Daphnia pulex: one gene and its partner. The protein of the gene in region 1 purifies or fractionates together with the protein of each later gene. This does not show direct contact. Links are inferred from orthologs where the notes say so. Each region holds a gene or a part of one and is shown on either strand. Other genes may lie near its edges.

What was found.
Region 2: the proteins of cap-specific mRNA (nucleoside-2'-O-)-methyltransferase 1-like (region 1) and putative pre-mRNA-splicing factor ATP-dependent RNA helicase PRP1 purify together in Homo sapiens (co-immunoprecipitation; 3 studies listed by BioGRID and IntAct, with this or other methods). This does not show direct contact. The link is inferred for Daphnia pulex from reciprocal best matches to the Homo sapiens genes CMTR1 and DHX15.

Annotation. Positions count from the first base shown.
Region 1 is NC_060021.1:638,004-642,093, reverse strand, and holds the start of cap-specific mRNA (nucleoside-2'-O-)-methyltransferase 1-like, read right to left. Parts: upstream 2,842-4,090; 5' UTR 2,637-2,841; intron 2,549-2,636; 5' UTR 2,500-2,548; coding exon 2,466-2,499; intron 2,312-2,465; coding exon 2,001-2,311; intron 1,937-2,000; coding exon 1,781-1,936; intron 1,723-1,780; coding exon 1,555-1,722; intron 1,487-1,554; coding exon 1,319-1,486; intron 1,256-1,318; coding exon 1,063-1,255; intron 972-1,062; coding exon 856-971; intron 790-855; coding exon 693-789; intron 634-692; coding exon 501-633; intron 413-500; coding exon 222-412; intron 157-221; coding exon 15-156; intron 1-14. Other genes in the region: vacuolar protein sorting-associated protein 51 homolog, read left to right, coding at 3,901-4,068. UniProt on the Homo sapiens protein: S-adenosyl-L-methionine-dependent methyltransferase that mediates mRNA cap1 2'-O-ribose methylation to the 5'-cap structure of mRNAs.
Region 2 is NC_060017.1:1,846,489-1,850,897, forward strand, and holds the start of putative pre-mRNA-splicing factor ATP-dependent RNA helicase PRP1, read right to left. Parts: upstream 2,834-4,409; 5' UTR 2,708-2,833; coding exon 2,661-2,707; intron 2,480-2,660; coding exon 2,438-2,479; intron 2,325-2,437; coding exon 2,217-2,324; intron 2,154-2,216; coding exon 2,013-2,153; intron 1,950-2,012; coding exon 1,875-1,949; intron 1,814-1,874; coding exon 1,709-1,813; intron 1,646-1,708; coding exon 1,267-1,645; intron 1,187-1,266; coding exon 932-1,186; intron 868-931; coding exon 609-867; intron 550-608; coding exon 358-549; intron 4-357; coding exon 1-3. Other genes in the region: quinone oxidoreductase-like, read left to right, coding at 4,186-4,218, 4,299-4,397.

The DNA.
Region 1 (4,090 bases):
ATTGCAAAGACAACCTGGATGGGGCTGTGCGAGTTTTTTCTGGAATTTTCCAAAATTCTAATGACTGTTTCTTAAGTTCAGATTGCCGGTCCTCTCTTAGTGTGACATCTTTGCAAAATGCGGCAATTTTGGCGAGGTTTACAACTTGTCTTTCACCTATTGAACATTATACATACATGAAGTAAATGTTGCATATTTTAATACCAGGCAATAAATCAAACCCAAATCATTGTTGGACTCAAACAAATAATTGTAAAAGTCATGATGGTTTGTCATCAAATCCAATGGTACAATATGCATGACATCCGTTTCCGTTTTAGAATTACTAAGCTTATCAAGGCGACGATTGATTTCAAACAGGTAAGTCTCGACATCTTGAGTGTCACTTCTTTTCCACTTGCAAATTATATATCTACCAGGAATTCAAAAAAAAATATTAAAATAACTATTTGGAAAAATGATATTTAATAGCGCTCAATGTCGCAAACTAATAAATTTACCTTTCCGAATTGGCCGGTCGGGAAGTATTTGGTTTATGGATGGAAATTTGTTTAAAGGAACGATACATCAAGTATACTAACCCAGCGCTAAATGGTGTAAACAAATCAAATAACTTACACACAAAGTGGCCACCTATGAACAGAATTCTTCGATAAATAAACTACACACATGAAAACGTAGGAATAAAATACCTGTTCGAACTATAGACAAAGCAACAAGGAATTGGCAAAGATAAAGTCGTTTTGACAAAATTTCTTGAAGATTTTCTTGCCCTTCAACAGAAAATCCCTAAAGTGTTGAAAAGAAAAAGATAAGTTACACATACAGACTAGGTGGGAACATAGAAAAGCTTACTCCGTCGGCCATCATGAAATGTACGCCTTCTCCGGTTTGAGCCATAACAAAACGTTGGAATTCACGGATGTTTTCCGGATTATACACATCTCCGTTTCCTTCAACTCCACCAACACCTAATATAAAAATGATTCACTATAACTGACTACTGATTTCAATTGATTGATCTGATTTTTTTTAAATTAAAATTATAACACTTTTCTTTACCATAATGGGGTTCAAAACATTCGCAAGGGGCGGCATGGAAATCTTCCAACTTGAAATCGTTGGAGCTCTTTAGAGTGAAGCCGAAACCCTTGGCTTCCCATTTTTTTCGCCACAGTATGTATTCAGAAAATCCTCCTGGGCCAGCGCAAACGTCAGCAAAATAAAGTAATTCGTTCGGACCAAGAACTGGGGTCTGTAAAGAATTTCACTCAAAATCACAAAGTAAAATTCTGCTTTACCAATGTACAAAACTTACCCCATCTTCGTTTCTAGGATCAGTAAACATAAAATCAAAAACAGCATCCATATTTGCCATCTTCATCGCCGCTCTGTTAAGAAAAAAAGCTCCCCGAATAGTTTCAAATGGATTAGAGCGGGTGCGTGCTTTCCTTAGTTCTTCTTCTTCCAACACATCAAATATCGACTTGAAAAGAGCAAAGAACATGAATGTAAATATTTAATAATGACATTAATCATCCTAAATTAAGTTACTTTGCACTGAAGAACTTGTTTTAAAATGTCGCTGCTACAAAATGTTGTCTCATCATCAATTGTTAATTTTTTGGTTCCCTCTTTTACCCAATTTTTTAACTCTGGCAAAGTAGGTGCAGGAGTGGAATCTAGATGAAGCCATGAAATCTCTTCTTCCACTACAACAGTCTAGAAGACAACAGAATGAATGAATGAAATAATCAAGATAAATGTAGACATTAACAACCTCTCTACTTGAGTCCCATTCAACATCTTCAGCTTCCAATCCTTTTATCTGCAAACCCAATCCTCTTCTTCCGCGTTGTTTAGAGACTTCGATGGGCTGTGTCATACCTTGGGATTTCTTACCAAGTCCAGTTCCTTTAGCCCAACCCATTTTAGCCTTTAAGTAGTTCAGAAATCTATTAGCAGCCACATAGTATGCACTGTAAGAATATTAAACTGACCATCATTGCTGTGGCTTTATGATTTATGACTGGAGCAGCAGCAGATTTAGGTTTGATGAGTGTTTTATGTACAGAAGGCATGATAGGCTGATCATCATCACTAGAATCAGAATCTTGACTACTGGATGGTGCATTAAACCCATATCCTCCATCAGCATTACTTTTGGATGGGCTAACAATGACAGTGCTACGTTCACATGTTTCAATGTCATTTAGTTTCTTTCTTGAGTTAACTTCTCCTGTATTATTATAATACTGTGTGTTTGGTTTTTTCAAAGGAGGTCTGTAACTATCATCATCTGAACTGGAATCTGTAGAAATTTTGCAGGAAATTACTTATATTATATATATATAACCCATTAGTTGCAAAACGGGTTCCACCAATTTATTCAAGCTAGGTTAATTATTGCTGAAGATAAACCAACTTTTTTCTATAAAAAAATTTAAACAGCGTCTCATACTAACCACTCAGTGATGTTATTTTTCCTTGCGAAGCCATTGTTTAGCGTTTTGTAGTTGTGTAGACTATTTGATGACTGACGTCGTTCCTAATAATATAACGTTTCCAAATTTTTAAGTTAATTCAAAAGCCAAAAGCTTCCAAAAGTTGATTTCCATGATTTATATATGACTCACCAGAATTAAACGTACGCATTGACATGTGGCTATAGAAGTCAAAATGCAAGCATCTTGAAAATACACAAAAAAAAATGTCTGACGAATGATTTAATAAAACGATCGAATGACCGAACGGAAGAAAGTAAACACCGCTCGTTCTTGCTCACGCTAGCATAATCTGATATCTGTAGCGATGTCTGCTACAGTCTGGGTCTTTCATTTTTATTGGCTGATATGAAAATATTTTGAGTTTAGTATCAGTACATAGAGGGCAGCAGATAAGGTGGGGTCAGCTGTTAGTGTGGTGGTATTATTGTGTAATGTAATGAGCTAATCAGCCAGCAGCTCTCTGCAGACTGCATATCCAAAACCTAAAGCAAGCCGGCCTGTCATAATTTCTTACCTGTTATTTTTATGCCTTGGGTTGGCGGTTTGAGACTTGAAGCGTTAAGACATTCTGACATCAGCTCGCGAAACGTCAAAAACTTACATTAACGCTATCCAATCCCCAACCATTCGATTTGCAGTTACAACCACAGACTAAGAGGGTAAAGACTACGATCAGGGATAGGGCTAAAGAGGGATGCTTGAAGCGATGCTCGTCCTATGCCGTATGGTGGCGCGTCGAGCACACAAAACGAAAGCCATTATTTTTCCTCTTTCCCTACTGATTAGAGTCTTCACACACCGTAAGTTTATAATTAAACCATTAACATATCAATAGTGATGTTTTGTGTAAATATAGCTTAGATATCTCCCATGTTGTGGGAATTTTTTTAAATTTCTATGTGATGTCTAGATACAATCTATAAATTCCTTTATTAAACCCCCTTTTTGCCCATTTTCAGGCCCAGGAAACAGCGTTTCACGATTTTCAGGCCCATTTCAGAAAATCTTGAAACGCTGTTTCCTGGGCCTGAAAATGGGCAAAAAGGGGGTTTAATAAAGGAATTTATGGATTGTATCTAGACATCACATAGAAATTTAAAAAAATTCCCACAACATGGGAGATATCTAAGCTATATTTACACAAAACATCACTATTGATATGTTAATGGTTCAATTATAAACTTACGGTGTGTGAAGACTCTAATCAGTAGGGAAAGAGGAAAAATAATGGCTTTCGTTTTGTGTGCTCGACGCGCCACCATACGGCATAGGACGAGCATCGCTTCAAGGGGTTTATAGCCGTTCGTGGTCTTTACCCTCTTAGTCTGTGGTTACAACTAAAGAAATGTATGTGCGGTATGTGTAATCACTAATCAGTTGGTGAACAGTGCCAATGAAAAACGTCAAAATGAGTAAAGAACTAAATGAAAACGATAAAAGAAAAAGAAACAATCTTCTTTCTCAATACTATGGGATAACAGAAGAAAAGGATGTAGAAAACCTTTTTGACGTGGATGGAAAGCACTTTAATGCTGATGCCTATGTTGACAAACTGGTTCAGGTAATCATATTCTATTTCTTAT
Region 2 (4,409 bases), on another chromosome or scaffold:
GGACTGCATTCAGACGTTGCGGAAAAAATGGGAGGAGACAAAAAGAGAAAGAGACGGAAGTGGGGCCCCACATTTTTCAAGGAGACCAAAAAATGGGAAGCCCGCGCGTCCCGCCTTCATGTTTAGTTCTGTTCACCTATTAACAGGATACAATAGAACAGCCTATCGTTTCTACTATGATCTGTGCTCTCAAAGAAAGCACACCTTTTAAACCAGTTGATTAGCCGTTTTGCCATAACAAGTAAGAACTTTTAGATTAAACTACAAAGGCAAAACGTGGCAAATCACCCTAGCTATTTTTCAGATCCCACACAAAGACAACCAAATCAACCGAAATAGAAGTTAGGTGAAGCTTACCGGAAAGCATAGCCGTAATCGAAAGGATCTCATTGGAGCAGTTGAATTCCGTAGAAGCAATCAACATTTTGGCCAATTGAGGATCAAGGGGAAATTCAGCCATAATTGCTCCCAACTCGGTCATGTTACCATCGTCGTCTAAAGCACCGAGATAATTCAGCAACTCTAGAGCTCTCATCAAAGTCTCGGGAGCTGTAAAATAAAAAAAAAAATCAGCATGCGGTTTATTTATTTAAATGTTGATATGGTACCTGGAGGGTCCATGAAATCAAAATGAACAAGGTCGTCGATGCCTAATTTTTTAAGATTAATGACGACTGATCCCAAGTTGGAGCGAAGAATTTCAGGATATGTGTTGTCTTGCATCTCTTGTTTGTAGGCTTTTTCTGTGTAAAGACGAAAACATTTTCCTGGTCGCGTACGCCCGGCACGCCCAGCACGTTGCTGAGCTGATGCTTTGCTGATAGGAGAAACGAGTAAAGACTCGACGCGAATGCGAGGATTGTAAACCTGAAAACAGCAATTCCACAAATTTGAACCATGTAACTCACATTTGAAAATTCCTAAATGTTACCTTTTGTTTGGCAAAACCAGGGTCAATAACAAAAACAACACCATCAATAGTAAGCGAGGTCTCGGCGATGTTGGTACTAATAACCACTTTACGACCGATGGCTCCATTTGGTCTAACTGGGGGAGCAGCCTCAAAAATCCTCTGTTGCAAATTTGGTGGCAATGTGGAGTACAAAGGAATACACTTCATTTCTCCCACTTCAGGACCAAGGTTGTCGATTTCACGTTTCAACCTTTTGCAAGCTTCATCGATTTCCTATGTGTACATGAATAAGATAAACATGTTCAGAGAAATCTGAGAAATTCAATCAAATTTTACAAATATATAAAGCTAACCTCTTGACCAGTGAGGAAGAGAAGAACATCACCGACAATATCTTCACACATGTGAATTTGCATGACTGTGCGTATGGCTGCTTCAAGATAGTCACGCTCGGGTTCTGGGGTGTAAAAGATCTCCACAGGATGCGTCCGACCGGGCACGTTCATCAATGGTGCGTTATCAAAATAAGATTGAAACTTTCCCGCGTCAAGCGTGGCAGACATGATAATTAACTTTAGATCACGCCTTTGCTTAATGACTTCCTTTAAAACACCCATAAGAATGTCAGTAGCAAGTGTACGCTCGTGAGCTTCGTCCAATAAAACTAGCTGATACGAGTCTAACAGTGGATCTGACATGGCTTCACGCAACAACATACCGTCTGTCATGTACCTTTAAAAAATGAAATAGGGAATAGTTTTGATCGAATAAAACGTTTTACTCAAAAGAACATACTTGAGTACGGTTTTGGGGGAAGAACAGTCTTCGAAACGGATACTGTAACCCACTTCTTGACCAAGAACGACGTCCATTTCATCAGCTACACGTTGAGCCACAGACCTTACAAAAAAAAAACGGTTTTATATTAAGAGAAAATTAACTATTTGACTTAAAATATTACATAGCAGCAACTCGACGTGGTTGAGTACAAGCGACTCCTTTTTTAACTCCTAGTTTTCGCGCAAACTCAGCCGACCTGTCACAATAATAGCAAATTATCAACAAACTGCTCTACGATAAACTAAATATATTTCCTAACCATTGAGGAATTTGAGTAGTTTTTCCCGATCCAGTTTCTCCAACTAAAACTATTGCCTGGTTGTTTTCTAGAAGCTCAAAAAATTTCTCCCTGTATTCCCAAACTGGAAGGCCAATGCGCTTTCGATAAATGTCATAGTATCTAAAACAATATAAATGATCATTATCAACGAGTGTTTAAAAAAAAATAATATTTATGATGTACTTTTGTGTATAGGGCAATCCTGTAAGGGGATTTAATGTCAACCCTGGCTTTGATGGTGTTACTGGAATTGATGCAGATGAACCACCAGGTTTAGAATCAGTTACATTTCTGTAAAGTAATAAGACAAAGCATTATTTTAATCTTAAGACACTAATATGGGAATTTGTAAATCAAAAAGTGAAAATGAATTTAGAAAAATATTTATAACAATAGAAGCTTACTTTTCTTTATCTGCTTCACTCCCTTTGTCACCAGTTGCCCGGCTGTAAAGTAAAACAAATTAATTTTATTGCATAATAATTTAAAAAAAGAATGATGGTTTTTTGAAAAATCATTAACAATCTTATCGACCACGACATGTTTCACTACAGCATGCTCATGTGCATTACAAATGACACAATCGCGGGTTTATTTGTCTAATTTGAATAATTGCATTTTACTTACGATTTCTTGCTGAGCTTGTCATCAACTTCTATGCGTCTTTTCGACATAATAAGAGGTGAAAATATCTATTTTACGATATTTAAAAACGAACAGGACGTGGATACACGTTTTCCAACAGCACAGACAGGAACTTCGGCCACCAATTTCCACACTTGCAGACGCTACTTGTGAAATTCAAAGGAAGCACGCGTTTCATTTCAAATCGCTAGATGGCACATAGCCAATAAGCGGCGAACTGCGGAACTACTGGTTTATTGCCACAATTTAAGTTGACAATAACTCGTCTACAGATGCCGTATTTTTATGCGCGGCGCTGATCTATAAATGTATATGGCTTTGCTTCTAATTCGTTTCAGACCCTAGCTATATGGTATTTGCTAATTGAATAGTATAGTAATTATTTTACTGCTCGATCACAATTTCATGGTTGCCTCGTTTTGGTGGTTAGAAAGTTACAAGTTAGCCTAAATGAAAAAGTTGTTGATTTCTCAATTCGGAATATTTCCTCCGTTCAGTACCGTTATGTTTATATATTCCACGAGAATTCAGCATTGACGACGTCCTTATTATAAAAAACTTTGAATTCATTTCAAATAAATTAGTTTGAATATCCAATACGCATTGAAGGACTCAATTTGTCTTATTTCTATTAATCATGTGTTTGGTCTAATGAAATTAGGCCTAGGAAAAAATAGAAAATAAAAATCTATATGGGGAGAAGCTATTGTTTAAATGCATTGATGCTTCCCGGAATAATTCAATTTAAATTGTTCTTTATTAGTAGGGAAGTTGTAGAGAGAAAGTAGAACGCAGAGAACGGGCATGAAATCGTGAACTGAGCGGAACACATAGCAGTAAAGAAAAAAAGAAAGGCTAGGAAATTTGATGTCCTATTTCTTCTTTCTCGGTGCTCCCGACATTCACATCGCTACCTGCCGCCGAGGAATTAACAGGTCTTCCGTCCTACGTCCGTCCAGTTTACGTTTCCCTGTTACAATTCCCTTTGAAAATCCGTAAGACAATTTTTTGTTACCGTTAATTTTATCGCTATAGCTAAAAATCTGTAATATTACTTAACAAAATAATTGGAAATTTCGTGTGTGCTGTTAAATAACTTGATTTCAATGGCCGAAAAAGTGCCCGTACTTCGGGAGAAAATATTTCCAAAGAAACCCGATTTCCGTTACGCGCTCTCAGTATCTAGAGCATCGCATTTTGATTTAATATTTTCCTTCTAAAGAGACCAAAGACTACTTTTTTTATTTGCATTTCTGTTTATGATTTGCAAAAATTGCGATCGGACATTTTTTGAATTGGGAGCCTTCGCCCTCTATGTCGTCTGAACTTGTTGATGTTATTAACAGATATCTTATTGAATAAAACTAGAGGTGCTGCTTGATTAGATAAGAGAAAGCCAGCAAGCAGTTATCCAGTGAAGGTAAACTGTAAATTATCCAGTGAAGGTAAACTGTAAAATGAAAGATGCAACGAACTTTCGACCGAGCCCTTAACTAAATATGTGTCAATGAACTCGAGAAACTTCTTTGTATTAACTAGGGTATACAGAAAAATGGACAAAATCATGTAGAGATTATGAACATTAAAATAATGATTTTTTTATTGTTGTTTTATTTTCAGGGACTGGCAATGAAGGCTGTACGTGTGCACACATTTGGAGGACCAGAAGTCTTGAAAGTAGAGTCTGATGTTCCGATTCCTGTTCATTCTGAAACCCAGGTTTTTTATTTG